4 linked regions of the Notamacropus eugenii genome follow. The protein of the gene in region 1 purifies or fractionates together with the protein of each later gene. This does not show direct contact. Links are inferred from orthologs where the notes say so. Each region holds a gene or a part of one and is shown on either strand. Other genes may lie near its edges.

Region 1 (7,694 bases):
AGTTCTACAATGAACATCCACAGCAAACAGCAAAAAAACCCCCAATTTATCTAAATTATAACAAAACAGAAATCACCAAAAGTATACACAGGAGAACATATACCAGACAACATGTAGCGAAGGCACTCTCCTACTGGGAGTAATATAACTCAGCTCAACTAAGAGAGAGAATTCTGGATCTCACCCAAGGAGAAACTCTGAAGTTGCTAGGGTAGCAAGCTAGGGATAGGGACATGATAGAGTCTGCGAGCTCCTCTCAAGTTTTCCCAGAGTTTTTTCTCATCAATCTTGAGTATAGTTGGTCTCTTCCATTTTCCTTCTCAAAGCTGGAAGACAGAGCATGCAAAGTAAGGGGAAGCTTTGAGAATCCCAAAGAAGATTGGATGAGAGAGAGCTCTTAATGTTACCTTGTAGGGTTGGGTATTCATCTCCCCCAATAAGGACTCTGTGCTTCAAGCAATGGACTTTGGGACTGCATGCATTCATGCTTCACACTTTGATAACCTTAGAACACTGAAAAGAATAGATGAGGGCCATTATTAAAAGACTTGTGATTTAATCATACATGGCACAAGATTCATTATAGTGTACTATCTTTTGTTTTTGGAACATTTTTTCATTTTTTTTTGTTCTTATTGAATCTATTCTCATATACCTCTTTTATTTCACCCTCTACTCTCCTTATTCCTCCTTTCTTGTTGTGTTTCTGAGTTCCTTTTTTGTACTTTCCTGTTTAGTGACTCTGAGGTTTTCCCTTCTGCTTTCTCACATTTCAAAATCTGCTTTCATGTTGAAAAACTTTTGCCAACAAAAATAATAAGAATTATGTAGCACTAAATTCTTTGTACATTTTTCCAGCTGAAAAGGAAGATGGGGTTGTATCCCATTCACTCATTTCCTTTGAGATCTTAATTCTGAATGAATGAAGATGGCATTTGAATAAGCATTGATAAGGACAATGACAAATTTCCTTAAATGTATTAGTTGGTCCCTTGTTGCTTTCCTTCACAATAATTATACTTACAATTTTCCAATTACAGGCCAGGGAATATATCAAATTTAATATGTCAAATTATGTTCCATGAATCATGACTTCAGGGAATATGTCAAATTATGTCCTGTTAATCATGACTCTAAAAGGAGAGATTTAGAAATGATCTCTAAGGCCTTCCCAATCTTAAATTCTATTACCTTATGAACCTTTCCTGTTCTTCATCTCTAGCACTAGTCTTTTTTATTTGTTTTGAACTTCATCCTCTTTGCTAGGCAGCATGACTTGTATCCTCACCTTGTCACTTTTAACTTCACTCAATCTGTTTAAGTTAAAGTTATCATTTCCCCTCTAACTAGTTCTCTACTTTGGAATTTCATTTCTGTTAAAGGTACCATTATTCTCCCAGTTATGTGAATTTGAAACCTTGGGAGTAATTTTTTACTTCTCCTTATTTCTCCCCCACTATCCAATTAGTTACTAAATTTTCCTTGATTTGTTTCTCTCCTTAAAGTCTGTTTAATTGACTAGACCCCTTTTAATTGTATATTCACTGTCAAGACCCCTAGCCTCCTATGGTAATTGTCTCCTACCAGCTTTCTCTGCCTTCAATTCTTTCCACCTTTCCCCCCATCCTCATCTATTCTACAACCAATTGTCAATATTTTTAATACGTTGTTTATCTTTGCCCTTTTTTGATACCTTCCCCCTAGCTATCCCCCACTACTGTCATGTTTAGAAGATAAATTAAAACTGCTTAGTCTGTCATTCAAGGGCTTCCACAGTATGGCCTTTTTCTATCTCTTCAGCTTTAAAATGAATCCTCTACTATTGTCAAAATTGTCACTACTGCTCTTTGAAACACCATGCACAATCTCAATTTTGTACAATCTTAGCTAGATTTTTCTTTCTCCTTTTCCTCATTTATCTAAGTCTCCTACTTTCTTCAAGGTCCAACTCAAATCTCACCTTCTCCCAGAAGAGGTAACTGCCTGGTATGGATGTCCTTTATGCCTTTCACTTGCTTCCACATACCATGTGAACCAGTGATGCCAGCTTCCCTGCAGTTCCTTGAACGACACCCCATTTCTCTGCTTTCAGTGTTGTCATTGTCCCTCATGTCTAGAACTCTCTCCTTCATCTCCTTCTGGATTCCTTCAAGTCTCATCTGAAGACCCATTTTCTGCAGGAAGCCTTTTTCTATTTCATTTAATGGTTATGCTTTCAAACCTTGATTATCTCCAATTTATCCTAAGTCTTGTAATTCACTTATTTACTGGCATATTGTCTCCCCATTAGACTTGAGAGTAGGGACTGTCTTTTATCTTTCTTTGCATCCCCACTGCTTAGTACAGTGCCTGGCACACAGAAGGCATTTAATAAATACTAGCTGAATTGACTGGACTGTGTGAAAATGTATGCAACATTCCACGCCTAGAGTGGGCACTAAATGCTAGCTGACTGTCCCAGTTACTTCTTTGTACAACTCATTTGATGGCTCCTTCTCCTTCTTCTCATGTATCCTTACATATATCAAGTTCCTTGAAGGAAAAGCTTTTTATTCCCAATATCCAGCATGTTGCCTTAGGTCTATAATAACTTTTCAATAAAATATTAGCTGAGGATACTTAGATTTAGTTTTATATTCAACTTAATTAGCATTAATTTATATTTGACTTATAAAATATCCACTGTATTTTCTATAAAACAAACTTTTGTTCAAGAAACTGCTTTTTAGCAGTACTAAAGTTTCATCTCAAAATTTAAGGATTTTATACAATTAGATCCATTTATGGTGCTGGTGTTAAAAGATTATATTAACCAAACCACTTCACAGCTTAAGGGTTCTTAGCCTTGTGTATGTATGTGCATGTGTATGTGTATGTGTGATGGATACCCTTTGGAAGTCTGGGGAAAGGTAAGGACCTCTTCTCAAAATGTTTTAAATGCATAAAGTTACAAAGGAAGGCAATTATAATGAAATAAGTGGTCAAAATAGTAATTAAACCAATCTATGAACCTTCTGGAATCTATATATTAACCTCATGTTAAGAACTGATGTAGTTGCCAAAGGTTTCACTTTTTTAGAGCAGACTGGTATGATTCCATCAGTGGCATATGTAAATTTGTCGATGATGACAAGCAGCTATATTTTAATTTCATAATATTTTTCTTTGTAGTTAAGGTGGTATTTAGGTATTTTTGAGATTCTGAAAGAATATGGCTGGTATTTCGTTACTCCTGAATGCTGGGGTTAATCCGTAATCCTTGGGTTTGGCTCAATAAGTAGGTAGTAGGTTGGGCAGGTGTGTCCGAAGATATTGGGTGTTACCTTTGTAACAATGTAGTTTCCATAAAGGCAGTCCAGATGACTGCCTGGGTTGCTGGGCCTTCCCACTCATGCCCAACCAAGGCCTCACCTCTCCTGAAATTTGCTTTTCCTAGGGCAAGCACCTAGAGGACTCTTAAGGTCTTCCACAAACTTTGAACAGGGTTCGTTAAAAACTGAAAACTCTATTTAGAGGATCAAAGAAAAGTTGGCCTTGAAAAGGATCTAGCCCAATTCCCTCGTTTAGCAGATGATAAAAATGAGGTCCATCCAGAGAAGCGAGGTGAGAGGCTTGGTCAATAAACATTTATTAAATACCCCCTCTGGGGTAGGCAACTGCCTACCAACCCCTGTTTTCCTGAAGTTTATACTGTAATGGAGGGGACAACATATCAATAAATTTATGCAAACAAGCAACATAAAGGATAAATTGGAGATAATCCACAGGAGGAAGGGAGTAGAATTAAGGGGAAATCAGGAAAGGCTTCCTGTAGAAAGTTCTTTGGGGACTTGAAGGGATTCAGGGAAGCCCGGAGGCGCAGAGGAGGATGCAGAGGTGTGGACTGGAGTGCAGGTCTTCTAATTGCCAGCTCCACCATAGATGTGAGTGGAACTGAAATTGCACCCTCTCCACCACTGAAGGCATCTTTGGCTCTGTACCGAGTCTCGCTTTCTCCGCTGGAACATTCCGCCCGCTTTCATCAGCTAACTTTCCTTTTTGACTCTCGGTCCTTGCCCTCCTCCTCCTCCTCCTCCTCCCCCCTCTCCTCCCTCAGGAATGCTTGGGAATCCTGCGCACGCGCAGTGTCGGAAACCACCCCGTACCACAGACTCCCCTCTAGGTCTCCTCACTCTTAGGAATGAGGATATGCTCGGTTCGTAATGCGCTTGCGCAATCGTTGGCCGATTCGCTTGCCTGGGCTCGGGCACTGTGGACCACTCTCTACTCTGGGCGCTTCTCTTCTCCCCGCCCCTTGCTCACTGCCCTCCTACCCCGGCCCCACTTCCAGTTTCTGCTGTACGTCGTGAATCAATAAAGCTTTCAACAAGGAATTCTTCCGTAGCTAGGCAGTGGTCGCCGCCGCCATGGGTGTGTGTTGTGTGTATGAGCGCGGAGGCTGCTGCCAATAAAGTTGTACCTCTCGGGCTTCCTCCGCCCTCCCCATTCTCTCGGCCTCCGTCTAGAGTGCGCGTGCGCACGCTCTCGCCGGCCTCGCTCGGGGTTGGCTGCCGCAGGACTCGGGGTGGGAGCTGCGGCCTCGAGAGCGCATTTTTCCCCCTCCCTCCCCCTCCCGGTGTTCGAGTTGCCCGGCTTCCTCCCGCGGGCCGCCGTTTGTGTTCGGTTTTTTTTAAACAACTTTATTGTTCCCTCCCCGGTGGCAGCCCCCGCCCCCTGCGCTGTGCGCGTCCTCAGGATGCACTGAAGCTGCAGGGAGGCGGCGGCGGCGGCGGGTCCCGGTCCCCGGTCCCTCGTTCTCTCCTCCGAGTACCCAGCCCGGGGAAGGGGGGGTTACGATGTCCGGCAGCCGCCAGGCTGGTCCCGGCGCTGCCGGGACAGGGCCCAGCTCCTCCGCGGCCTCCTCAGTCACTTCCGCCTCGTCGTCGTCGTCCTCGTCGTCGTCGTCGCCGTCGCCCCCGTCCCTAACGGCGGTGGTGGCCGCGGCGGGGTCCAGCGGGGCCGCCGGCTCGGGGGGCCTCGGGGCCGCCGTACGGCCTCTGCTAGTGGCCGCCGCCGTGTCGGGCTCGGGCGGCGGAGGAGGCGGGGGCGGCGGGGCCCTGGCCGCGGGCCTCTCCCGGCTTGGGGGCTCCGCCAGGCCCGGGAGCGCCGTCAGCGGCGGCGGGGGCAGCTCGGGCGGCGGCAGCAGGAAGCGGCCTCTGCACACCCCACTCTGCAACGGGCTCATCAACTCGTACGAGGACAAAAGCAACGACTTCGTCTGGTGCGTGGAGAAGCATCCCTCCTCCTCTTCCCCTTCTCTCGCTGGGATGGGTGGGATCGGCGGGGAGCAGGTGATGCCCAGCGGTCCGGGGGCCCTCCCTGGGGGGCAGCCCTGGTGGGTGGCGAGTTACACCGGGAGGGCAGAAGAAGGATTAAGAGGAAGGAGTGAGGAAGTCAGAGCTCCCAGTTCAGCAAGTACCAGGCGTAGGAGCTCCCAGACTTGTTGAATGGAATTGAAGTGTGGGAGGGCGTCTCTGGTGAAGTTTGAGAGTGAGGATGGAGGCCCTTGGAATGGCAGTGAACTCTTTGGGCAACCTTAAGTTTATGGAGGGGATGGTGACTAGAGAGAATGCGTTGGAATTGCTCTAAGTGAAAGGGATATGGAGTGCCGTTAGACTGAACTTTCTGAAAGTAGACTATTTTTTTGCTGTTATTTGTATCCCCAGTGCTTAACAACAGTGCCCGGGAATATCCGCGATGCTTCATAAATGGTAACTGAGTGACTGATTGATTACCTGTAGATGGGCTAAGCATTGTTTAAGCTATACACAAATGTACAGGATCTATCACTACTCACTATTAACTCATATTCATCGTCTGTGTACAGTGAATCTTGCCAGTGAGACTATTAGCGTATTTGAAGTCAATGAAAAACTATCTTTTAATGTCTTAGGTGTATTTCAGTGTACCACATATATTGTACATGATGTTAAACACAGTTTGTAGCACTTTAAGATTTATCATAAAGTGTTTATTAAGCATCTAGGTGCGAGGGCCTGTGCTAAGCATTGGAGGTGAAGTGTAAAAAAAAAAAAAACAAACCTGAAAGAAACTGTTTCTGTCCTCATGGAGCTTATGTCTAATGGGGAGATGTGCACATGCCCATATTCAAGTATGCACGAAACAAACTGAAAGTGGTTTTTGTAGGGAGAGAAATAGTGGTTAGGGAGAATCAGGAAAGGCACACAGAAAATGATACTGAGTGGAGTCTTAAAGGATTCCAGGTATTTCAAGAGATGGAAGTAAGAGAGTGCACTGCAAGCACTGAGAGATGGAGCTTCATCATATGTGAAGAGCAGCAAATAGGCCAGCTTGAGTTCTTGAAGAAGAGTAAAAGTGTAAGAAGACTGGGAAGGTAGAAAAGATGATACCAAAACCTTTTGAGTTTAGTAGTATAAGAAGTAGTATTACCATTTTGCACAAGAGGGAACTGAGGCTCACATGGGTGAAATGATTCACCCACTGTCCATCAGCCAGTAATCATGAGAACTGTGATAAGAAACCAGATTCTGATTCCAGTCCAGTGTGGCTTGAGGCGACTGTTGGCACAGGGAGTAGAGGGCTGGGCCTAGACTCAGGAAGCCCTGAGTTCAAATCTAGCCACAGACACTAGCTGTGTGTCACTTAACCTGTTTGTCTCAGTTGCCTCTACGGTAAAATGGAGGTAATAACAAGCACCTACCTCTCGGTTACCCACCTCAATCCTGTCAGGATTGTTGTGATGATCAAATGAGATAATATTTGTAAAAAAGTACTTAGGATAGAAGAACATAGTAGGTTCTTTATAAATACTTATCCCTCTTGCCTTCTCCACTGTATATAAGTTATTAGAGGTTGGATGGTTGTGATTCAAATTATCTGTGGCAATTAATAGCCATGGTTGTTGGTTTTTTTGGGGGGAGGGGCATGGGGCAGTTGGGCTTCACCCCCAAAGAGAAGTGATTGTTACATAAAGAGCAGTTTGGAATTTGGGATTCTCTTCAGTGTCTGTAGTTTTGATACAATGATAACTAAAGTTGTCTAGATTGATGATTGTCGTGGAATTTGGAGGTTGATTTTAATGACTTACATTTGTATAATCACGTGTATAACAATGATCCTTCTACTGATGCAGATTGCAGTCATTTATATCTTAGTAGACTGCCTTCATGAGTTGCTGTAGCTGACAATAATAATAACCAGCCTTGTGGGGATGAGCCTCCCGATTTTGACAGGCTGGTTTTTTGTCTCCAGATTGGTAGTTGAAGCATTTACAATTTAATAGGACCTGCCAAAGCCTGTTCTTCTTTAGCCTAACCTTAAAAAACCCAGTCACCTCCATACCATGAAAAGTAGGACAGAGGAGGAAGTGAATGAGGCTGCTGGAATTCAGATGGGCTGGGTGATTTGGCCGATGTCACATGACTAGTTAGCTTCGGAGGTGAGACTTGACTCTCTCTTTCCTTCAACATTTATTAAGCACCTTTCGTAAGCCGGGTATTATAGACCTTTGGTGTAATACAAAGTAAAAAAAAAAATGAAACAGTGATCAGAGGACTAAGGACTTGGAGAGAATGATACAAAGTTTTAAGTTAGTTACTGTTTCGGTTCTCATGGAATTTACAACCCAATCCTGCAAGCATTTATTAAGTGTCTATTCTGTGCAAGGAGCTTGG
Region 2 (7,152 bases), on another chromosome or scaffold:
GAGCTCTCCCCCAATACTGGTGGTCGTCAAACTCTGCTAATTAGCAATGCTGAGAAATTCCAGTTAACAAGGACATTCTCCTAGACTGCGGGTTCCCTGCCGCTCGCCTTCATTTCCATAAGAAGATTAAGAGTGGAGGGGAGCGCTCTCAGATGCAGATGCAGAAACGAAGCGTCTCTTAACGAGCATCGTAATAGTAAGATGCTAGGCTAGTTCTCACCTAATTACCGCAAGTTAAACCTCTATTTGCCGCTAGGGAGAAAAAAATAGGTCTGCGGTTCTTTCGACGAACAAAATTGTTTGATAGCTTTAGATGTGTTACTGCTGGGATGGGGGGGGGGGGGGGGGGGGAGGGTGCAGGAGAAGGGAGTGGACACGCAGAAATAAATAAACTTAAATTAAAAAGTTAGATTTCCACTTACCACAGGAAGTTGTTTCTTTGGGGGATTCTAAAGGGCTTTTACCTAGGGCCGATCCCAGAACTGAAGGAAGACAAAATATTCCAGGAGCTTCTTCCCCGCCCTCTCCTACACCCCAACCTTTTAAACTAATCTATCAATAAAAGTATGGAAGAGTTATTTCCCGTCCTTTGGGAGGAAGAGGGGGAGGGGGAAGGGAAGGAAAGAAGGAATATTTCTATCCTGTTTCCTACACGCATTTTTCCGTTTCCATAAATTATACCAAAGACAACATGAAAAAGAGTCCTGAACGAAGAGCCCTGTCTTAAGTCTCATTCTCTTCCTGAGGAGTGCGTGGAGGGTGGTTATTAGCGATGCAGCAGGCTAACAGGAAGGACTGTGGGACTGGGGCGCTTGCTCCAGCGTGTGGGGTTGGAGGTTAGGAGTATTTAGGGCTGAGTGATGGCCGTGAGTTTCAATGGTGTGGCCAGGGATTCGATTTCGTAAATATACATGTCGTCAGAAATCTACTGGGAAAAGGGGTTTCCGCGCCCTCAGTGGCTCCTGATTTTCCTGAGCACATTATTCTCACGCCTGAATGCCAGCGACAGTTAGTTGTACTGCGCGGATAAGTCAAACGCGCTTAATTAAAACAAAGCTGAAAATAAATGCAGCCAATGAGGACCCAATTGTGACGCATTTTCTCCCCCGCTCATTTATGTGATCAACGCAATTAGCTGAGGCCGAAGCCAGCCCCTTTCACCTCTTAAATGCATTATTATAGAGTTCAGGCATAAATGCATGCAATCTGGTTATCAGAGGTGGGGGTGGGAAGGAATCTTCCGGCTGTCTCAGTTGAGCGAGCCCCAACTCCCTATTGCCCATCCCGAGAAGACCGGACAAATGCACTCGGGTCTCCACGGGCACCAGTTATCAATTTCTAGCAATAAACCAACCCCCACCCATGGCTACCCCCACGGCAACCTACCTCCGGCCCAAACTTAATTAAGCTGCGAGATTAGAGGAGGGAGGGGAAGAAAGGACCCGGGGGTGGGGGAATGATGTGATCAAGCGCACACACCCAGAAGAAGAGGCGCCCCTAATTTTCACCCTCCCTAATTTTAGCCCAAGGATTAGACAGGCGTTAAGTAGTTGAGTAAATTGAATCAGACTCTTACACGCCTCTGAGGGACACACACCAATCTGTTGATAAAAATTACTTGTAATTAATTTTGCTTCTCACCACCCCACCCATCCCTCCTTCTTTAGGGAGAAGATGAAGATTGCCTAACGTTTTTTTCTTTTTAAAATGAAAAGCGCGATTCTTGGGGAAAACTCGCGCCAGTAGGGGGCGCACCAATCCCGTCCCTGAAACCCGTGGCGCAGAAAAGCCTGTGGCAGCCACCTCGGGCAGGGCTCCAGCTCCAGCTCCTGGCTCCTGCAGCCCCTCCCTGCGGCCCCGACCGCCCCCCCCCCCACCTCACCCCCACCTCCGCCTCCAACCTCCCTAATCATTCTTCCCATCCTCCTTGGCCTGGTCTCTGGGCGCGTTGGGGCACCTCTCATTCCATTGTAAAGCAGACAGTCCCGGGGGTCCCACATCCCCCTCCCCCTTTCAAAGGAGCCCAGGCTTTATAACTAAGACCCAAACTTTAGAAAATAAGTTGGAAGTATTGCCCCCACCCACTTTCTTTGAAGAGATAGGGGGGCTAAATTTAGAGGAATTCTGAAAGTGCCCCCCACACACATCGATTTCATGACTTACGCCTCCCCCCCCTCCCCACAATTTTCCAAGTTAGTTTACGAGAGAAGAGTACAGAGCGGGGCGGGAGGGGGTGGGGGGGTGTAATGATGGAAGGGGAGCCGCGACTTCTCTTCCTCCACAGTAATTCGGACTTATGCTGAGTGAATTAATGCAATAAAGGGAACGTGGCCGGGGAGCTAGCGATCGGTACATTTGCCTACCAGTGAAGGGCGGAGGACCGAGGGGAGTAGGGTAGGGTGTTAAAGGAGAAAAAAATAAATAACCCTGATGGTTTAAGTCCTTTATAAGCCACAAATAGCATGAGGTTGCTGCTTCTTTTTTTCTTTTGTAGTCAAGTGCATTTTAGCCACAAAGATCGCAACAAGAGAGTGGAAGGAAACTTAGACCGGGCTTTGTTTGCCTGCGTGTAGTGACAACAACAGAAACAAAACTACCTATTTGTAACGGACGTGCTCCCATTTCTCTACGCATTGAGCTCCTACCTATTGAAATCTTTACATCGGGACAATGGGAGAGCGGCTAAAATTACCCTCCTGGGTCCGCGGCGAGCAAGATTCCCGAGACCCTCCAGTCCAGTCCCCCTCCCACCTACCCCCTCCCTTCTCGTCCTGTCTCTTCTCCACTCCTTCCTCCCTTCCCCCCTTCCAGGTTTTTTGTCCAGAGCCTGCTCCCTCCCCTCTCCTGACCCTGAATGGGTCTGGCAGACCTCACCCCACCCTGACCTCTCGGCCCCGGGGAGCCCAGTCCCAAGCGCACTGCTGAGCCAAAAGAAGGTGGGGAGTGTAGTGCAGACTTTGGGGGGAGTGAGCGACGGGGACAAAAGGAAAGGGTGATAAAGTTTGGCTTGTGGGAACTGTGTTGGAGGCGCTTAAAAACCATAGCACGTTAGAACTTGGGAGTTGTGTTCTGTCTGATCTCAGGTCCGAGTCTGAACTGACGGCACGTTCATCCAGCTCCTTTCTTCCTCTTCTTGTTTCCTTCTTTCTGTCTCCCTCTTCTTTCCCTCCTCCTTCGTTTATTAGAGTTATGCTTCTCTCATTCCTTATTTGAAAGGGACACTGAAATTCTTCTGATAGGCTTAAGAGAAAGGAGGGAAGAGGAGGAGAATGAGGAATATAGGGCTAGGGTTTGTGGCTTTTTTTTTTTTTGCTTTTCCTCACGGTTTGAATGGATTAAGGATTGGGAGGGTGGGGGTGGGGCGGGGCCATAGCCAGGGGAAGGGGGGTTAGGGCGAAGTAGGAGCAGGAGGAGAATGAATTAGATATGAGATACCTACAATTTCTTGATAACAAAGCCTATATAGGAAGAAAAGTGGTGTCCCGGCAACGAGGGATGGATGCATTGGCCTGAAACTTGACAGGAATGAGCTTACAAATATTTTCTAAACATGGAAGGAAAGTGAGAGCGAAGATGGTCTCGGGACTACTACTTTTCCAACTTCTTTGCAGAAACCACAGTGAGATGAAAAATACCAGAGAGGAAAGCAAGCTAAAGGGACAAATTGGACCTTCGTGTGGGGGTGGGGATGATGGAGGAGGAGAACCTGTAGCCCGGTGGGCCTGGCAGCTAATTCCGTAGTTCTAGGTAAAGTGCCTAGGGGAGGGGAAAGAACAAGGGTGGGCACACCAAATCTCTATGACCCTTTTTGGAAATACTAATGGGAGACTTAGATTAAGAGGCCCCTGCACCCCATCACTACTCAATCTCCTCCTTCGTCCAACCCTCAACTCCCCAAAATCAATACCAAGTTTGAGGGGGGAAAAGCCCAAGGCGGCCACAGTGCTGTTCACCCTCTTCCTCCGAAAAGGCGTGTGGTGTGACCTGTTGCAGCGAGAGGGATACAAAGGTTTCTTAGTGGCTGGCTGGCTGGCGGTGGGACCCGCCTCCCCCTCCCCCAGGGCCGCCGAAGGCTCCGCGGCGCGGAAAGCCCCGCCCCCTTTCATGCAAAACCAGCCGGAGAGGCTTGTCCTGTGTGGAGGAGCCCGAGCGCGCTGATTGGTCCGGGAAAACCCATTTATTCCCTGACAGCCCCCATCACATGGATGGTTGTCTATTAACTTGTTCAAAAAAGTCTCAGGAGTTGTCAAGGCGGAGAGGAGAGTGTTTGCAAAAGGGGGGAAAGTAGTTTGCTGCCTCTTTAAGACTCGGAGGAGAGAGAACAAGCGAGAAGAGAAGGAGAGCGAGAAAGAAAGAGAGGAAGAGAGAGAGGGGGAGAGAGAAAGAAGTTTTGAGCCCCGGGCTCAAAGGAGCGTTTCACCCAAATAATAATAACAATAATAGCGGCGGCGGCGGCAGCAGAAATCGAAGCCAGTGGAGGAGTTTTTCTTCCTGATCTTGCTTCCAGTTCGTCTTCTTGCTCTGCGTTTTTAATCGCTCCTCATCTTATTTTTCTGGAGACGCGCGCTCCCGACCCCCCCACCCTTCTCCTCCCCTCCTCCCCTCCCCCCGCCCTCGGGCCCCCCGAAAAGTCTCGCCGGCCAGTCCGGGACGCCCGAGGCCGGCCCGGGGAGGTCGGGGGCCCGCGGAGCGCGCGATCCAGGAAGCAGCGCGATGTACAACATGCTGGAGACCGACCTCAAGCCTCCCGGCCCGCAGCAAACTTCGGGGGGCGGCGGTGGCGGTGGCGGCGGCGGTGGCGGCGGCGGCGGCCCTAACTCCACGTCGGCGGGCGGCACGAACCAGAAGAACAGCCCGGATCGCGTAAAGCGGCCCATGAACGCCTTCATGGTGTGGTCCCGCGGGCAGCGGCGCAAGATGGCCCAGGAGAACCCCAAGATGCACAACTCGGAGATCAGCAAGCGGCTGGGCGCCGAGTGGAAGCTGCTGTCCGAGGCCGAGAAGCGGCCCTTCATCGACGAGGCCAAGCGGCTGCGCGCCTTGCACATGAAGGAGCACCCGGACTACAAGTACCGGCCGCGCCGGAAAACCAAGACGCTGCTCAAGAAGGACAAATACACGCTGCCCGGCGGCCTGCTGGCTCCCGGCGGCAACAGCATGGGCGGCGGCGTCGGCGTCGGGGCCGGCGGCCTGGGTGGCGGCGTCAACCAGCGCATGGACAGCTACGCGCACATGAACGGCTGGAGCAACGGCGGCTACGGCATGATGCAGGAGCAGCTGGGCTACCCTCAGCACCCGGGGCTCAACGCGCACAACGCGGCGGCCGCAGCAGCTGCAGCGGCCGCGGCCGCCCAGATGCAACCCATGCACCGCTACGACGTGAGCGCCTTGCAGTACAACTCCATGACGAGCTCGCAGACTTACATGAACGGCTCGCCCACCTACAGCAGCATGGCGTACTCGCAGCAGGCCGCCCCCGGCGGCGGCGCTGGCGGAGGCGGTGGCGGCGCCATGGCCCTGGGCTCCATGGGCTCCGTGGTCAAGTCAGAGGCCAGCTCCAGCCCCCCCGTGGTCACCTCGTCGTCGCACTCCAGGGCGCCCTGCCAGGCCGGGGACCTGCGGGACATGATCAGCATGTACCTGCCCGGCGCCGAGGTGCCCGAGCCCTCGGCGCCCAGCAGACTTCACATGTCCCAGCACTACCAGGGCGCGCCGGTGCCGGGCACGGCCATCAACGGTACGCTGCCCCTGTCGCACATGTAAGCCCCGGAGCCCGGCAGGGCAGGAACATTTTTTTTAAGGAAAAGGAAAAAAAAGACACAAAGAGACTGTATGGCATAGAGAAGGGGGCCCACCGCACCACGGGATGGGAGGGGGGGGAAATTCCCCACCATCTACAGCAATGACAACTGCGAAGAGGAACTTAGATACACACACGCACACACACACACACACACACACACACACACACACACACAACACAACAAAACAAAAACCCAACAGCCACGGCAACACCAAGAAGAAAACTTTTATTGAGAGATTCCGGACTTCTTTTTGGGGGGGACTATTTTTGTACAGAGAACTTGGGGGAGGGGGAGACAAGGGGGGCCTTGTATAGATCTCTGAAGGGAAGAAAACTACACAAAACTTTTTAAAAAGTTCTAGCGTGGACGGTAGGAGCTTTGCAGAAAGTTTGCAAAAGTCTTTACCCATAATATTTAGAGCTAGTCTCCAGGTGACGACGAAAAAAATGTTTTAATATTTGCAAGCAACTTTTGTACAGTATTTATCGATATAAACATGGCAATCAAAATGTCCATTGTTTCTAATCTGAAAATTTGCCAATATTTTTCAAGAGTCTTCTTGCAGAATTTCCGATCACTGCAACTGGGATTTGGGGCAGTTGCAAACAAGAGAGGAGGGAATTAATTTCAATTTGGACATTTTAATTGTTTAGAAATTGTACAAAAGGAGAAAAAATTTAGGATACTTGCAAAAAACCATTTCCGTGCTTTTCTATAAAAGGGCAAACGTTTAGGTTGTACTCATTTTTTTTACTTATTGTTAAGAAGGAAAAAAAAGCAAAAGCTGGCCCCTCCACACAGGCTGCCATGGCTGATAATTTATAATAGCATTTATTTCCAAACTTTTCATTCTGTTTCAATTTGAACACAAATTAAAAAAAAAACAAAAACAAAAAACCCAGCAAGAGCGACCTGAAATTACTGTGTTTGAAATATTTTCTTATGGTTTGTAATATTTCTGTAAATTTATTGTGATATTTACGGTTTTTTTTTCCTCCCTCATTTTTGGTAGTTGTATTTTAAAAACTCGGCTGACTCTGTGTTTCTTTAAACCAGTCTGCCGAGAGTCCATGTACATATATTTGAACTAATCCCGTCCTTATAACAGGTACATTTTCAACTTAAGTTTTTATTCCATTATGCACAGTTTGAGATAATAAATTTTTGAAATATGGACACTGAAATTCCATTTGCGTCTTGGATTTCTTTGGAGAAGACAATGGCGTTGCTTGGAAGTACTTGGGGGTACTAAAATGCCAGGCTCCTTAGAGTGGTCTTAGCAAAAAGAAAAATAACAAAATAGACTCGAGGTGTCCACTGCCGGGCACCAGGTCTAAAAATGCAAAAT
Region 3 (7,781 bases), about 110 Mb from region 1:
GAGAATCAACAACATAAAAATGGTAATTAAATCCATGGGAGCTGATGAGATCAAGTGAAATAATATAAAGGGAGTAGGACCTAGGACAGAACCCTGAGGGATACCTATGGTTAGAGGGCATGATGTGCAGGAGAATCCAGCCAAGGAAACAGAAGAGAAGCAATCAGGTAGGAGAAAGTGGTGAGAGAGTAAGGTCCCCAAAACCCAGAGAGAAGAGTACCAAGGAGGAGAGAGTGATCATCAATGACAAAGGCTGCAGGGAAATCAAGGAGAATGAGAATTGAGAAAAGGCCATTGAATATGGCAACTAAGAGATCATTAGTAACTTTGGAGAGAGCAATTTCAATGGAATGATAAGGTTGGCAGTCAGATTCTAAGAGGTTAAGAGGAGAATGAAAAGAGAGAAAGGAGAGGCACTTGTTGTAGGTGACCTGTTCATAGAGTTTAGCTACAAACAGCAGAAAAGATAGAGGACAATACTTAGCAGGGATGGAAGGGTCAAATGAGGATTTTTTCAGGACAGGGGAACAATGTTTGTTAGGAAATAGAGGAGGAGGAGGAAATGAACCAGTAGAGGAGAGACTTAAAATAAGTGAGAGCAGGGAAGAAAGAGGAGACAATCTGTGGGATGAGATGGGATGGAATGGGAACACTTAAACAAGTAGAGGGATTACCCTTGGTAAGGAGTAAGACTACTTCATCATGTGAAACCCTGAAGGAGGAGATAGTGACAGAAGGCATTTCAGTGATAAGAGATGAGGAAGAGGGGAGAATAAGGGGTTTGTGGCAAATAGTTTAAATTTTGTCTCTAAAATATTAATTTCTTAGCTGAGAGAGTTAGGCTGGAGGAAGCCATGAGAGGTTTGAGCAGGGAAGAGAAAGTTTGGAAGGGCGACTGTGGACAATGGGATAATGAGTTGATAGAGAGGTATAGTAGGATTATGTAGTAAGATTACCTATCAGCAGTGACGGTCCAGTTGAGGTTATCTAGTATTTGTCCTTCATTTTGAAGAGGATCAATGAGGGTGATGTCTTGAATAATTTGGATTAGATTAATTAAATTAAATTAAATAAATAAATTGGCTTTAACTGAGGCAGTTGCGCAAAGTCCTCAGCCTCACTCTCTCTTCCAGGGTCATCAAAGTCCAGTAACAGGACAAAAGCCAGAACAACTGGTGATGGTCCAGTGGATGACATTGGCATCTTCTCTGTCTGACCAAGTACTCCACAGCACCTGCTTCAGCCATCTTCATGGCTGCTGGAACAAATTGTTCTCATCCACTCATTTAACTGGGGGAAAGTCTACACATGCTTGAGGTAGACATCCCTCTTACTCACTGACAGGGGAGCAGGTCACTGTCTACCAAGACTGTGCATGCTACAGCTTTTGGAGACACAGGTGAGAGTTGTGTGCCAGACAGACACCAAAGGTAGATGAGTATCCCTGAAGAGGGCTCAGTAAGCCTTCATGGCAGAGGTGCTAGTCCTCTAGAACACCCCACACATTCCATTATTTGTGGAAAGTCAAGTGATTTTCTTCACCTTGCTTCAGCAGTATGTGTGAAGGCAGTGAATGGTGGGAGTGATTCGGAGCTGAGGCTTGGCTGGGCATAATCAGTATATTATATTATGGGATAATCATGGTATAATATGGTAATCAGTATAACATATTATGGGGGCTAGGAATTCAAGAGAGGAAGCCAGTGTAGGGTGGATTTGATTCACCAAGCAGCCATAATGGGAAGAAGAGGAGAATGTAGCTAATGCAGGGGAGACTGCCTGGCAGAAAATTGAGGAATCAAGGGATTTGAAGTCATGATGAGAATGAAGAATAAATAGCATTATATAAAGGAAGGCAGGGGGAAAGATATGGAGACAATAGGTTATGATCTGATAAGGGGACTTCAGAATCCTTGAACATGGAGGCAGGATATTTGTGGGTGATGGCAAGATGAACAGCATGGCCATCTTTGTGTGTGGCTGAGATGGAGTGGAGAATTAGTTCATGGGAGGTGCTTGGATGTTAGAGGGAGAATCAATATGTATGTTTAAATCTCCTAGTATGACGGCAGGAGTTTGGGGAGGAAAGAAAAATTGTAAGCTAGGTATTGAATTCTTTGAGGAAGAAAGGAAAGCGACATGAGGGGCGCTACCAAGATTTTGAATGGGTGGAAGATATGAAGAGTCTGAACCTCAAAGGTAGGGAGTTTACTGAGTGATGGAGGAAGGGGTGAGCCTGAAAGTAGTAAGTGCTTACTTTGAATCAGACACTGTGCTCAGCAACGGGACACACAAATATAAGAGGTTCCTTCAGAAAAACCTGAGAGTCTGGTCTCTGCTGGAAAAAGAATGAATGAAGAATAGCAGGTCTGAGTCTCTTCCCAAAATGGAGGGTAAACACTAAGAGACATCATATGCCAATAAGTAAAGACAAGGTAGTTTGAGGAGAGAGAAAGCAGTAGGGGAATCGTGAAAGGATTGGAAAAGGTCATGGACCTGAGCTGAGCCTGGCAGGAAGCAGGGGTACTAAGGATTAAAGATGAGGAGGACTGAGCAAAAAGGCATGGAGGTGGGAAGTGGAGTCTGGGAATAGTGATACATCAGTTTAGTTGAAAAACTCAGTGTAAAGGGGAATAATGTCACTCTTTACATCTTTGATGCACTGTTCACATTCTGTTTTGTGCTAAAGATTTATGTTCATATTTTTTGTTCCCCTTCAAAACTGCAAGATGAAATATGAAGCTCACTGGTCTTGAATGCAAGAGACTTTGGTTCAAATTCTCGAAAAGGCACTTCCTGTGTGACCTTGGACAAACGGCCTCAGTTTCTTCATCCATAAAATGGGCATAATAAAACATTCAGGAACTACTTGATAGTGGTGTTGTTCAGAAAGTAGTTAGTAAACAACCTATAATGAGTTACTTTCCTCCTTTCATTGAAGATATGAAGGCTATGGGTATGGAATATTGTATGTATTGTTAGACATCATAGTTTTGCAAGTGCTTTTCTTTTCCTCTTATAAATCTTTGTTGATAGGGATGACTGGCTGGGAAAGGGGAAAAAAATATATTTCCAAATGAATGTGACATAACAGCAAAATGTCTCAAAAATAAAAAGTATTTTTAAAACTTTAACATGTTGTGGAAATGTAAACTCTCTTCTAGACTTTATAGCAGAGGGTGGGAAGGAGGAGTTTGCGGGGAGCAATTGTTTTGAATTCAGAAGATTGGTAAAGAGGACCCCTAACTGACATTTACCAAGATGTGCGTCTATAAACAAGTTACTGAGGATTGTATTTGCAATACCTCTGAATTCTTGGGAGGAAAGTGCTTTGTAAACCTTAAAGGATTATAGATACTCCTCATCTTTGCTCTCTTCCTGTTCCCCCCCTCCATTCCTTACACTTAATACTTTTTTAAAAGTTTGCTACATTTGAATCTCTTACTTATGCCCAGACATCATCTCTGCTCTCCAAATAGTCGCTCAGGAAAGGACCCCCCCACTCCCAATCCGATCCCTTTGGTCCTCTCTCTATATATATTTTGTGACAGAGAAAGGAATAAATGCTCCTTTTAAAAGTCATAGGCACCATATATCAGAGGTCAGGTGAAAAAAAACAGCATTATTTCTACAGGAGAATATCTACTAGTGTCCAAGTGATAGTTTTCTCTCCTCTTCCACACCGCCCCCACCCTATCCCGCTCCCACAGCCTGAGACAGGGTCAAAAAATTCCCCACACTCCCACTATGGTGGCCTTGGATTGGCAACTGCCCCAGGAGGACACACTGCTTTCAGTGGAGTCAGTACTTCTGGTGAAAGCAGAGTAGTAAGAGGGTCCCGGCTGGAATCTGGCCTGGGATACTTGTCGTTTGCCCAGCAGCCCCCAAAGCAGGCAAAATCCACATCCACCCCACCCCATCTTCCACCTCCTCCTTCCTTCCACCTACCACGTCATCGTTATGGGTTGGGCCCACCCAGTCCAAGTCCCTGAAATTACTTGGACTCCCCACCCCCACCAGGAAGGGAGATGGCATTGCCATTGTGCCTCCTCAAAGCTCTAGTCCCGGTAGCACCACTGTTTTCTGCCGACTGAAGCCTGGCCATTCTTCAAGGGCACCAGCCGCTGGGTGCTTCCCCCCATCCCCACCCACCCCCACACTGGCTCCAAAGAAGGCCAGAGAACCTCTGAGCCACCAAAACAACCCTTTCTGGAGGTTTTAACCCCTAGGGCACGAGATGGAAACACTGACAGGGAAAGTGTGGCTGTGGAGTTTACAAGGACCTTGTAGGGGAATGCTTGGCTGGCCACCTGTGCGCTCCATCTAAGTACACAGACACACACACACACACACTCACACACATTTACACTTATTCTTGCGGGGTGGGGAGCGCGCTGCGCACGCACCTATACAGCTATACAAACCCGGACGGGTGTGTACACACACTCACACACACAATCTCAGAGCCAGAGACATCCGCCGCCTTTCCATCACAGAGTTTGTTGGATAAGCGTCGCTGAGAACCCGCCCGGGCCCTCTCAGTTCGGCTGCTCTTCTCCTATCCCTTCCACGAAGCCCTTTATGAATGAACTCCTAGAGCAGCAAGTTTATTTTTTTATGAATGGGAGCCCAAGCCGTGAATGAAGCCCAGAACCAGGCCTTGCGTCCCGATTGGTCCTGGTTGCTGGGAAACTCCGCCCCCGGGCTCGGACGGGCTACGATCCTGATTGGCGGGCGTGTCCGGCCCTGGGGTTTCATTCACAAAAGTCAATGAAACAAAGGGAACGGGGAAAGCTGAGCCCGAGCTGAAGGAAATGCTCCAATCGGGGGGTCCCCCGGGCACACAACTGTCTGCTCCAGCCGGAAAACAAGTTGGTGCGCTTGGGACTGGGGACTAAAGAAGCCTTGCTCTGAGTCGGACCCGGAGTCCCTACTTCCCAATCCGGGGACATGCTCTGGACCCCAAAGCAGCAACTACGCTGACGCCCCCTCCTCAGGTGAGGGTGAGGGGAAAGGGAGGGGGAGGAAGAGTGATTCCCCGCCCACACACACACACACGCACACACGCACACACACGCACACACACGCACACACACACACACACACACACACACACACACACACACACACCGCACAATCGCGAGTGCATACACATGCTTTAGCAGATTTGGGTGGGGGAGAAAAGGGGAAGCAAATATTGGAGGTCAGAGGGGAGTTGCTGGACCAGGAGCCCAGGTATCCAGAAAAGAGGTGGTGGGTTGAGTTACTTGCATGAGGATGGTCCATCAGTCGCCTTCCCCCCACCCCCACGCACACGCGCGCGCACTCACACGCGCACACACACACACACACACACACACACACACACAAAATAAGTCTTATGTAACCGATCCCAGCAGTCCAGGGTTGCCGAAAGAAAGGAAAGGAAGGATTGTAAAGCTTCCGAGAGCAGGTGGGAATTTACTTGGCGGGCAGTGGGGAAGTCCTCATTCCCTCCGGAGGTGAAGAAATTTGGCCATCCCACCTCGGGTCCCCAACTGAAGCCAGTGGCCTTCCCCTCTCTCCCAAGCCCCTTCCCGGGCGGTCTGTGAGCGAAGCCCCGTTCCCACTCTCCTCCCGCCCTCCCCCCACTCCTACCCCAGGTCTTCCCCCCCACCTTGGTGGGGCTGAGGCTCGAGGTCTGAGGGAGGAGCCGAATGGAGCGGAGGATGAAAGGCGGATACGTGGACCAGCAAGTGCCCTACACCTTCTCCAGCGTGAGCGCGGGTCTCGGCCCCTCAGGCACCGTGGGCACCTCTAGCCCCTGCCTCCTCCGACACCCCTCCCCAACTTTCCTCGCCCCTCGGCCATCCCGGAGACCTTTCCCGCACCCCCACTTTCTCCCCTCCTCTCCCCATGCATCCCAAGCAAGGACCAGCTCTTTGCCAGTCCCCGGGGACCTAGCTCAGACCTCCACGCCCCAGCCCCGTGACCACCCTTGGTTGGTTGCCTCCGCCCCATACATCTCCATCCCCCAATTCCACCACTCTAGAGGATGACTCGGGGTCCATTGGGCCCTTCTCTCCCCCCCCCGCCTCCCCCCACCCCCAGAAATCGCCCGGAAATGGGAATCTGAGCCGAGCTCTGATGGTCACACAGGGGAAACTCATGGACCCTGGCTCCCTGCCACCCCCGGAGTCAGAAGGTGAAGTGCCAGATTCTGGGGACCCGTACCTCCCCCTACCCCATCCCATACCACACCGCATCCTCCCAATCCCCAGCCAGGCCTTCCAAATAAATACCCGGGCTCAGTATGTAATCCCTCCCACCCACCCACCCCCCCCCCCCCCAACACTTGTGGCATTTCCTTTCGAAGGACAGAAGTATTATTTTCCCTAGTGCTCCCCACTTCAGTGGACTCCTTATGCCTCAGTGCGGGTTGGGAAGGGGGAGCTCCTCCGCTTTGAGTTCATCTTTCGGGTCTTCCCACCCCACCAGCACCTCCCCATCCCATTTTAATCTATTCACCCCTCAGATCTCTTCCAGGACTTGAGCCAATTCCAGGAGACCTGGCTTACGGAAGGTAAGTTTGGGGGGGGTGTGGTTGCTCGTCTTTCCCTCTGGCCCTGTTCCCCCACCCCTACCTTTCCGCAGTTTTGGGACTCCCCCAAACCACCTCCTTCTCGTCGACTTTTCCCTTTCCCCCCTCCCCCCCCAAGTCGAGTGTGTGGACATATATACTGATGTATTTATTTTCTCTTGCCCTGAGCGGGCTCCTAAGCTTGTGTAACTAGGCCTGGGGATGAATCAGACCATTGTGCGGGGTATTTGCTTATGAATGGAACTTGGCCTCAGGCCCATTTTCCTTGTTGAAATTTTCATTTGCAAAGTCTGCCTGGCCCCGAAGGAAGACTGAGGTGTGTATTGGGGTGGGGGTGGAGTGGGGAAAGGAGCAGTTAATTTGTTACTTATCTTCCAGAGTTTCCAAAACACTGATTCTTCCTACCCCCTCCCCCATCCCACTAGACAATCAGCTATTCAGTGTGTAAGACAAAAGAAGAAAAAAAGTTGAAATTATTCACACCCCCCCCCAATCTGTCCCTAAATTCCCTTGGTCATAAATCAGATATTTCTACTTTTTTCCCCTCTTTCTCCTCTCCACCTTCCAAGTTACATTCTCCCATCCGTTTTTTCCAATCGGAGACTAGAGGGTTTGATGGCTATGATGGATGTATTGTGTTAAGGTCAGAAGATGTATTTGATAGGGTAGAATCTAGATTTGGGTGTGGTTGTTTGATGTATTTCACCTAGGGCGTTTTGGAAGGGATAATTGATATATTTTAATAAGATCTGAGAATATTAGATTTAGAAGTGGACAGGATCTTTGAGATCATCTTATTTTGGTTGGCATATTTCCATAGTTTTGTTTTGATAAAATTGGTGGCATGTTAGTGGGTTTGTTTGTAAACATTTTGGATGGTGGAGGCTGGAAGGATTAACATTCTGTTTGAAGCTCATTTCATTTTAACATCTTGGTGATGAAGAAACAACAGAAATTTCTATGGTGCTTCTCCCTATTACCCCTCAACTGCGGGTATCTTACTCAGATGACATTTTGGAGGTTCCAAACTACAGGCGAACTTTGGGGCAAGTTGAAAAGAACTTTTAGCTAGATAACTGGAACTTTAGGGATATAATATAAGTAACACTTTTCTCCTAACCTTAAATGTAGGCTAAGTAGATCACTCACTGTCAGAATTACCATTACAGACCCAGAATCATATACCTCTGTCCCTATCACC
Region 4 (7,441 bases), about 410 Mb from region 1:
TCTCTCTCTCTCTCTCTCTCTCTCTCTCTCTCTCTCTCACACTGGGGGGGAGGGGGCGCGAGGGCGGTGTAGGGCGAGCAGGAAAAAGAAACCCACTTCATTCATAAAGTCACCCACATTCATAAAACTTGCAGCCGCAATCGCGGCCAATTTTCTCCCACGTTCCCCTTAACGGTGCGGGGTGCTGGCCCCTCTGCATCCCTACAAAAGGATCCTGTCTCCCCGAGGCACCTCCTTCCACATCTAATTTCAGCCCCAAAGTCCCCCAGAAAATGGGGCCTCATAACCAGGCCCCCAAACGCAGCTCCCCAGCCATGGCTCCGAATCTGTGCAACCCCTTCTCCCGATCCCACAACACTTTTAAACTCTCTTCGCCCTCCTGAGGACCCTCCAGCTCGGCGATCACCCCAGTCTACTCCACTCTCTCAAACCTGTGCACCCCTAAATCATACTTCAATCTCAGGCTCCCAGGGACTTCCCCTCAGGCCACGTCTGAAGGTCCCCAACCTTCTCTAGTGCTCCCCAACCTCAGACATCACTGGGCACCCCACCTAATTTCAGGCTCCCCCCAACATCGCCGCAGGCAGCCCAGGAGCACCCAGACTCAACCCCTGGCCCTCCAGGCATCCCCTTGCAAGCTGCCAGAGAAGCCCTCAAACCCTTCTCAATCACTCCAAGAACCCCCAACGGCCCTACGGTGCCCCAAATTCCCATCAAGTCTCAGAGAGCTCTCAATCTCCTTTCAGATCCACTCTGGGAACCCCCTAAACTCCCCGAGTTAGCCCATAGACTCTTCTCAGCCCCCCCTCCAAAAGCCCCCAAACTGGTTCCCTGAGCGCCTCCCAAATCTCCGAGGTCCCCAGAGGCCCCCAAACTACCCCTGGACCTTTCAAAGCCCCCCCCCCTCTCCGCGGTCCCCCGATGCACCCCTGGACAGGAGCCAGGACCCCCTCCCACTGGGCCGTCCCCCCCACCTCACCTGCCCCCCCAGCTGTGCCGGGCGCTGAATCCGTGTCCATGTCCATGACCGGCAGACGCAGACCCGTTACGGCCCCCGGCCCCGTTAGGCCCCGCCCTCGCCGGAGGCGCGGCCCCGCCCCCGCCCGCACCTGGGCGCGTGCCCGAGCCTCACCTGCGCGCGCGCCCGCCGTCGTCCGCGCGCGCGCCCGCCTGACAGAAGCGCTCCGGGCAGGGGCTCCAACCGGCCGGCAGCCCGCCTCCGTCGCCCCGGCCCGGCCCGGCGCTGTCCCGAAGCCCGCCTGCCGCCCGCGCCGCCCTGCCGCCGCTCTCGGGCCGCCTCGCCGCCTAGCTCCCTCGGGCGCCGCAGCCGCCAGCCCAGCGAGCGCAGCAGCCGCCCCCGAACTGGCTGGGCCTCCGCAGCCCCCCGCCGAGCCCAGACCGGCCCCCCTGCTCCCGCCTCTCCGCCTCTCCCATTGGCCCGCAGCCCCGCCCGCGCCCGTCCATCAACGCTTGTTTACCCCTTCTGCGGGCCAATGGCGAGGGGTCGGCACACCAGCCCCGCTGGGGATTGGGCCGACTGCACGTTCCGACCCGCCTCCTCGGCGGGGGAGAGGGGTCCTTTTACATAATTTATGCACCGAGAGCCCGGACCAATCAGCGCACTCTGGTTTACATAATGTGGTTCGGACGTTTTTCATTCATAAAAAAAAGCGACCTGAGGGAGAAGCTTCGCTGAGTCAGTGAAGCCTTTAAAGGGGCCGGCCGAAAGCAAAGACTGGAGGTGAATCTAACGCAGGTTAGCACAGGGTAGGATAGAGACCTGGATGAAATCTGAAAAACCATTTCATCACAGGAATGAGGCCAGAAGATGAAGACCTGGAAGGGATCTTCGAAATGAGAACCCTTCGTTTTTACAGATGGGGAAACTGAGGCTCTGAACGGTTAAATGACATATCCTAGGTCTCACAGACAGGCGACTGGAAAAAATGGACACTTGAACCCACGTGTATAACTCAAGAACAAGCATTTCTTTTCCAAGTGCTCCCCCGCTCACTTCTGTTCTCCCAAGACCCCCCCTACCCTCCTCTAGGGACCCTCCTTGTCTCTGCTTGTTGGGGGTAGGGAGAACTCCTTTTATTTTCCTCCCCTCCCGCCACACTAGAGTGGGGGAGGGGTGGGGGAGAGGGTGGGGACGGGCTGGGGCTGCTCCCTGCTTCCAGGCTCCAAGCCTGGCTTTCATTCACAGCTGCAGCAAACGGTGCAAAGTTATCTCCTGAGAATGGAAGAATTCGTCATTCTAGCCAAAAAAGAAACTCGCTGACCGACCTGGGCGTGTGGCCCACTGAGAAATACACAGTGGGAACCGAGTCACTTACTGGGAATGCCTTTTAAGCAGACCCTTCATTGGGAACCTCGCTTAGGTGGGCATGGGGCAGATTCTCAAAAATCTTCATTGTGGCTCTCTCTTTAATTATAACTTGAGTTCACAGCCAGATTTTAAGTGGTATTCCCCCCCAAAAAAAAATTTAGACAGGGCTGAAAGTCAGAGTAGAGTAGGTGAGCAGGGCTCCCCAAATCCTGTGCTTCTATCACCTTTTATCACACAGGCAAAGGGAGGACCCTGAAATTGGGGGCCAAGAGCCACAGAAGACCTCAGGAGAAGTCTTCAAGCCCTCATTTTACAGTCTCCAGAGAAGGGGAGCGAACCCATAGACTTGCTGCTTACCTCCAGTGTGATCTTGGCACAGTCACTTCCTTTCAATCGCCTTAGTTTCCTCGTCTACAAAAAAGAATACCCAGAAGGCGGGGCGGGAGGGAGAGACTACGTGATCCCCAGGTCCCAAGGCAGCTCAAAAGGTTTACTCTGATCCAGTAATCTTTGCAGAAGTCACACCATAAAGTCAACCAACCATGAATCCCTTGGAAACCGGGCTTGGTAGTTAGTATTCTAGCCTCGCTGGGCTGTTTGTTTGCAATTTAAGGAGTGTGAGATGCCGCATTTTGGAATTCAGTCCTGTACAGCTGGGGAAGGATGGAGAGCCCCCGGGGTCTGCCAAACAAATACGCATTAAGTGCAGTTGCTGGGATTCTTAACGCCATGTTCCTTCAAACAAGTAAACAAATCAGCCTTTTCCCCTCCCCCCAAGTCCCTCCCCAACATGGGGAGCCCACACAATGGTGCAGAGTAAGACCGTGTGGTACTTCTTCCGGCAGGACTAGCCAAGCGCCCGGGATGTATGCTGGGGAGCATGCTGTCTGAGCTCTTCTCCCGGTGTGACTTGGCAAGCCTCCTGACTAGTAACCCAAGAGATGAGGCTAGCTAGCACCCTTGGGAGAGGGAAAAGGGGAGATGGGGAGGCCAACGAGAGACTCCCAGGGCACGAATGCTCAGTCCCCTCACTCATGCCTCTTAGAATACCTAGTTCAGCTCAAGTGCTAACTTTGCACATGAGCTTTTGTCCTGATTCGCCCCACCAGATGCTAGTGTTCTCCCACCCTTGCGTCCAAATGACTTTGTACTTTGCGCTCTCTCTCTCTCTGTGCCTCTCTATCTCTCTTTATATATACTTTGCGCGCGCTCTCTCTCTCTCTGTCTCTCTGTCTCTATATATACTTTGCGCTCTCTCTCTCTCTGTGTCTGTCTCTCTTTACACACACACACACACACACACACACACACACACACACACACACACACACACACACACACATATAAAGAGCAAGTCATTAACCTCTGGAGATAATGACACCATCTGCCTCCCAGGGTGTGTGTGCATAAATGTGTACAGGTGGCTAATGTGAGATCATTTCTGTAAAATATTTTATAAACCTGAAATCACTATGTAAATGGTAGGTATTATTGTTAATACGAACCATAATTTTACATACAATTATTAATGTAATAATCATTATTGTTTATAATAAATCCTTCATTTTTTTAAAAATTCAGTTCCATTCACTCTGGTATACATTGCTTTACTTCTCAAGCATCTTACCTTCCACCCAATTTAAGAGACTCCAGGAGCAATAAACAAACAAAAAATTTCCACCAAAAGCTGCACCCAATGTAACAGGCCTCTCACATTACATGGGCTGTGAGGAGCCAGAAACATCAACCCATCTATACAAATACAGGGAGAGTCAAAGATCTTGTTAATGTAGGGAGACTCTGGTTGGGACCATGAGGCCCTGTTTGAATTTGGGATATTCTAGAGAGTTGCCTAAGTGACACACACAGATTGAATGATTTGCCCAGGGTGTAAGAGGTGGAATTTGAACCCAGAACTCTAGGGCCAACAGAAACAAAGTAAAAGTTGCCCCCATTTTATGCCTCTGGACAACATCTTTTCCCTGCCATTAGCAAGAGCCCATCAGATATGTAGATATGACAGCTTTGGTCATGCGTGCCACCCCCCCCCCACCCCCCCCACCCTCCCCCGCCCCAACAAATCTCTAGGTTAGTGTCTAGAGACCTAGCCATTTGTTGAGTGTACATTCCTGCTACATTGTGACGAAATCTCACAATGTCCTGGTAGGGGAAGTCACCTTGACTTCTCTAAAGCCTCAGTTTCCCCCAATGTCAAACAAAGTGGTCAAAAAAGACCTCCAAGGTCTAACCTTGATATTCTCTGTTTTCTGGTCCCTTCTCATTCTGGCATTCTATACTCTCTGTACCTCCCAGCTCTGACAGTCTGTGTTCCTTCTCTTCTGGGCTGATGTTCTAAGTTCTAAGGGCTCTCTATGAATTCTTTCACCTTACGTTGTAAGGCTTCTTTCTAACTAACATTCTATATCCTAACCATCTCCCTAGTAGGCTGGAAACATTTCTTCCTTCTATTTTGTTTTGTTTTCCACATGTTGTGAATAAAAGTACAGTGTAAAATGAGTGTATTAGATACCCCTTGATCTCAACATATGACTTATCGACCTGGTTTTCTGGACATTGTGGGGAAGTGTTTGTTCAGAACAATGATTTCATCAGACATCTCCCAGAGAGGAAATCCCATCCCCCAGTAAGTAATCCTTCTGGCTTTCTTATCTTGGAGAATTAGTTTTCTGGAGCATCAAGAAGTTAAATGGTTTGCTGGAGGTCACACAGACATATATATATATATATATATATATATATATATATATATATATATATATATATATATATATATATATATATAAAACCATATGCCTGTGTGTATACACATACCACATATAGACACATATACATGTGTGTATATATACATATATGCACACATGTGTGTACATACGTGTGCATGTGTATATACCAGAACTTGACCTCAGGTTTTCTTGACTCAGAAGACAGCGCCTAGATGTGTTACTGACATTCTGTGTTCTACTGTCCCTTTTGGAGTCTGTGATTTAAGGACCCTGCAAGCTCTGGCATGCTTCTCTAAGGCCCTTCCAGCCAACATTCTGTACCCAGTGTGCTTATGACACAGTTTTATGGCCTTTCTTGTGATCATAGGGAGCTGGACGGGAGCTCAAGATTATTTAGCCCAACCTTCTTATTTTACGAATGAGGAAATCTAGACCCAGAGGTTAAGTGACTTGCCAAAGGTCATACTGAACAATCAGGTCTCATAGTATCTTAGGATCAAAGACCTAGATCTATAAAGAAACTTAGAGGTTGTCTATCTACTCCAACCTCTTCATTGTACAGATGAGGAAACTGGGGCCCAGTGTACCTGTACCGTGGTGTCTCTTGCAAATGGGCAAATCCTCACTGTTCAACGCCTCCTTAGTCATTCTGCCCTTTCTCCCCAAATGCCTCCCAGTGACTCTACCCCACCCCCAACAAATGCCTTTATTTCCAGAAGATGATTTCTGTTTTTAGAATTTCCTTGTAGGGCACACACTGAGCCTGTGCTGCAAAGGACATTATATAAACAAGAGATTTCTTTTGCTAAAAAAAAATAATGTGTATCACCTACTAAGAGGTTTGGAAGAGGAAGCAGTAACCTCTATGTGGGACGCCATGTTCTAGCAAAGCTATAAATGTAATTTCTCTTATGTATAAGATCAGTATCGTGGGAGGTTAATGTTTGAAGCTATAAATCCCGTGTATCCATCAAATCAGAAAGATTTACATGACAGAGAAGCATGGGAATAAGTGTAGGGGCATTGAAGAATGCCCAAACTGTGAGTGTGTGTGTGTGTGTGTGAGATTGTTGTTGAACTTGACCAAAGAGAGTATTAGACAAGATTGTGCTTGTCTGAATAACCATCAGAGCTTGCATCAAAGTATGGGGGGTCCAGGATATGTCGAAACACATTTTTCTTCCAGGCATGGGTGCCAAGCCCAGATGCTGATTTCTGCCCCCTCCCACCTTTTGGTGTTCTCCCGCCAGAAATTAGTTTATATTTTGTCTTGAATTTTTATGTACTAGCTGTTTTCCCCCAAGTAGAATATAAGCTTCCTCAGGGCAGGGGATAGTTTGGTTTTATACCCTGAAATCCTTTGTGAGAAAATAGCTTTCACATAGTAAGCTTTTTTTTTGGTTCTTATTGTTAAATTCAGCTGATGTCATGTATCATCTGTGCACACCCATGCAGACCTGTGTGGCTTCTGGATCTGTCCAGCAATGGCAACATGTAAGGTGTATGAGTATATGGAGTGGGGAGCAGAGGGAGGTGATGTTCTTTTGGAAACTCTCAGAGGAATCCCAAAGTACAGGCACCTGGTAGAGAGGCAGTGTGGGGCAGTGGTTTGAGGGAAACAGCATGGAAAAGGAGATGGATATGCAGTCCTCTGACTGCCACCACTACTTGCTGTGTCACCTTGGGCAAGTCACTTAAATCTCATTGGGCCTCAGTTTCCTCATCTGTAAAATGAGGAGGATTGAACATGATGACATCTGAAGTCATTTTCAGCTCCAAATCTAGAATCCTATGATCCCAGGATCACTTCGACTATGTCAGGGGCTGACCATCAGTTAGTAATGGGAAACCTTAAATATTCATTGCGCACAAGAGTGTGTGAGTCATGAAAGAAATGAAACTTGGCGAAGAACAAGTCTTTCAAATTGAGAATCTCATGTTTATTAATAAACTCTCTGTGTGTCTTCTCTGTATCTTCCTTTCTTTCTTTGTCTCTCTGTCTGTCTGTTTTTCTGTCTCTGTGTCTTTGTCTCTCTCAGTACTGAACTTGAAATCAAGGGACCTGGGTTTGGATCTTAGCTATTTCACTTTTGTGTCTCTCACATTACTGACTCTCTTTGGGACCTCCTTGCCTTTACACCTCAGTTTCCTTACCTATACAACTGTAGGGACTAATTTTTCTCTAACATCCTTTTGTACTTTAAATCTGTTAGACACAACCAAGATGGGATTAATCATTTTGAAATGTCACCTAGCTCCATGTTCAAACTCTCCATCTCCTCCCTGTGCTCTGTACGGAGGGGGGGAGGTGGAGAAGAGCAAATTTGACTGTAAATAGCTGTAAATTAATATATATAGTATGTATTGT

What was found.
Region 2: the proteins of COP1 (region 1) and SOX2 purify together in Homo sapiens (affinity purification with western blotting; 3 studies listed by BioGRID). This does not show direct contact. The link is inferred for Notamacropus eugenii from reciprocal best matches to the Homo sapiens genes COP1 and SOX2.
Region 3: the proteins of COP1 (region 1) and ETV4 purify together in Homo sapiens (affinity purification with mass spectrometry; 5 studies listed by BioGRID and IntAct, with this or other methods). This does not show direct contact. The link is inferred for Notamacropus eugenii from reciprocal best matches to the Homo sapiens genes COP1 and ETV4.
Region 4: the proteins of COP1 (region 1) and ETV5 purify together in Homo sapiens (affinity purification with mass spectrometry; 6 studies listed by BioGRID and IntAct, counting the BioPlex papers as one, with this or other methods). This does not show direct contact. The link is inferred for Notamacropus eugenii from reciprocal best matches to the Homo sapiens genes COP1 and ETV5.

Annotation. Positions count from the first base shown.
Region 1 is NC_092873.1:470,079,777-470,087,470, forward strand, and holds the start of COP1 (E3 ubiquitin-protein ligase COP1), read left to right. Parts: upstream 1-4,684; 5' UTR 4,685-4,835; coding exon 4,836-5,260; intron 5,261-7,694. UniProt on the Homo sapiens protein: E3 ubiquitin-protein ligase that mediates ubiquitination and subsequent proteasomal degradation of target proteins.
Region 2 is NC_092877.1:342,641,507-342,648,658, reverse strand, and holds SOX2 (transcription factor SOX-2), read left to right. Parts: upstream 1-4,136; 5' UTR 4,137-4,713; coding exon 4,714-5,763; 3' UTR 5,764-6,988; downstream 6,989-7,152. UniProt on the Homo sapiens protein: Transcription factor that forms a trimeric complex with OCT4 on DNA and controls the expression of a number of genes involved in embryonic development such as YES1, FGF4, UTF1 and ZFP206. Binds to the proximal enhancer region of NANOG.
Region 3 is NC_092873.1:359,872,553-359,880,333, reverse strand, and holds the start of ETV4 (ETS translocation variant 4), read left to right. Parts: upstream 1-4,769; 5' UTR 4,770-4,997; intron 4,998-5,344; exon of another isoform or gene 5,345-5,452; intron 5,453-5,642; 5' UTR 5,643-5,696; coding exon 5,697-5,756; intron 5,757-6,090; coding exon 6,091-6,184; intron 6,185-6,514; coding exon 6,515-6,562; intron 6,563-7,781.
Region 4 is NC_092873.1:55,502,747-55,510,187, reverse strand, and holds the start of ETV5 (ETS translocation variant 5), read right to left. Parts: upstream 3,016-7,441; 5' UTR 2,687-3,015; intron 1,334-2,686; exon of another isoform or gene 1,133-1,333; intron 1,085-1,132; exon of another isoform or gene 980-1,084; intron 1-979. UniProt on the Homo sapiens protein: Binds to DNA sequences containing the consensus nucleotide core sequence 5'-GGAA.-3'.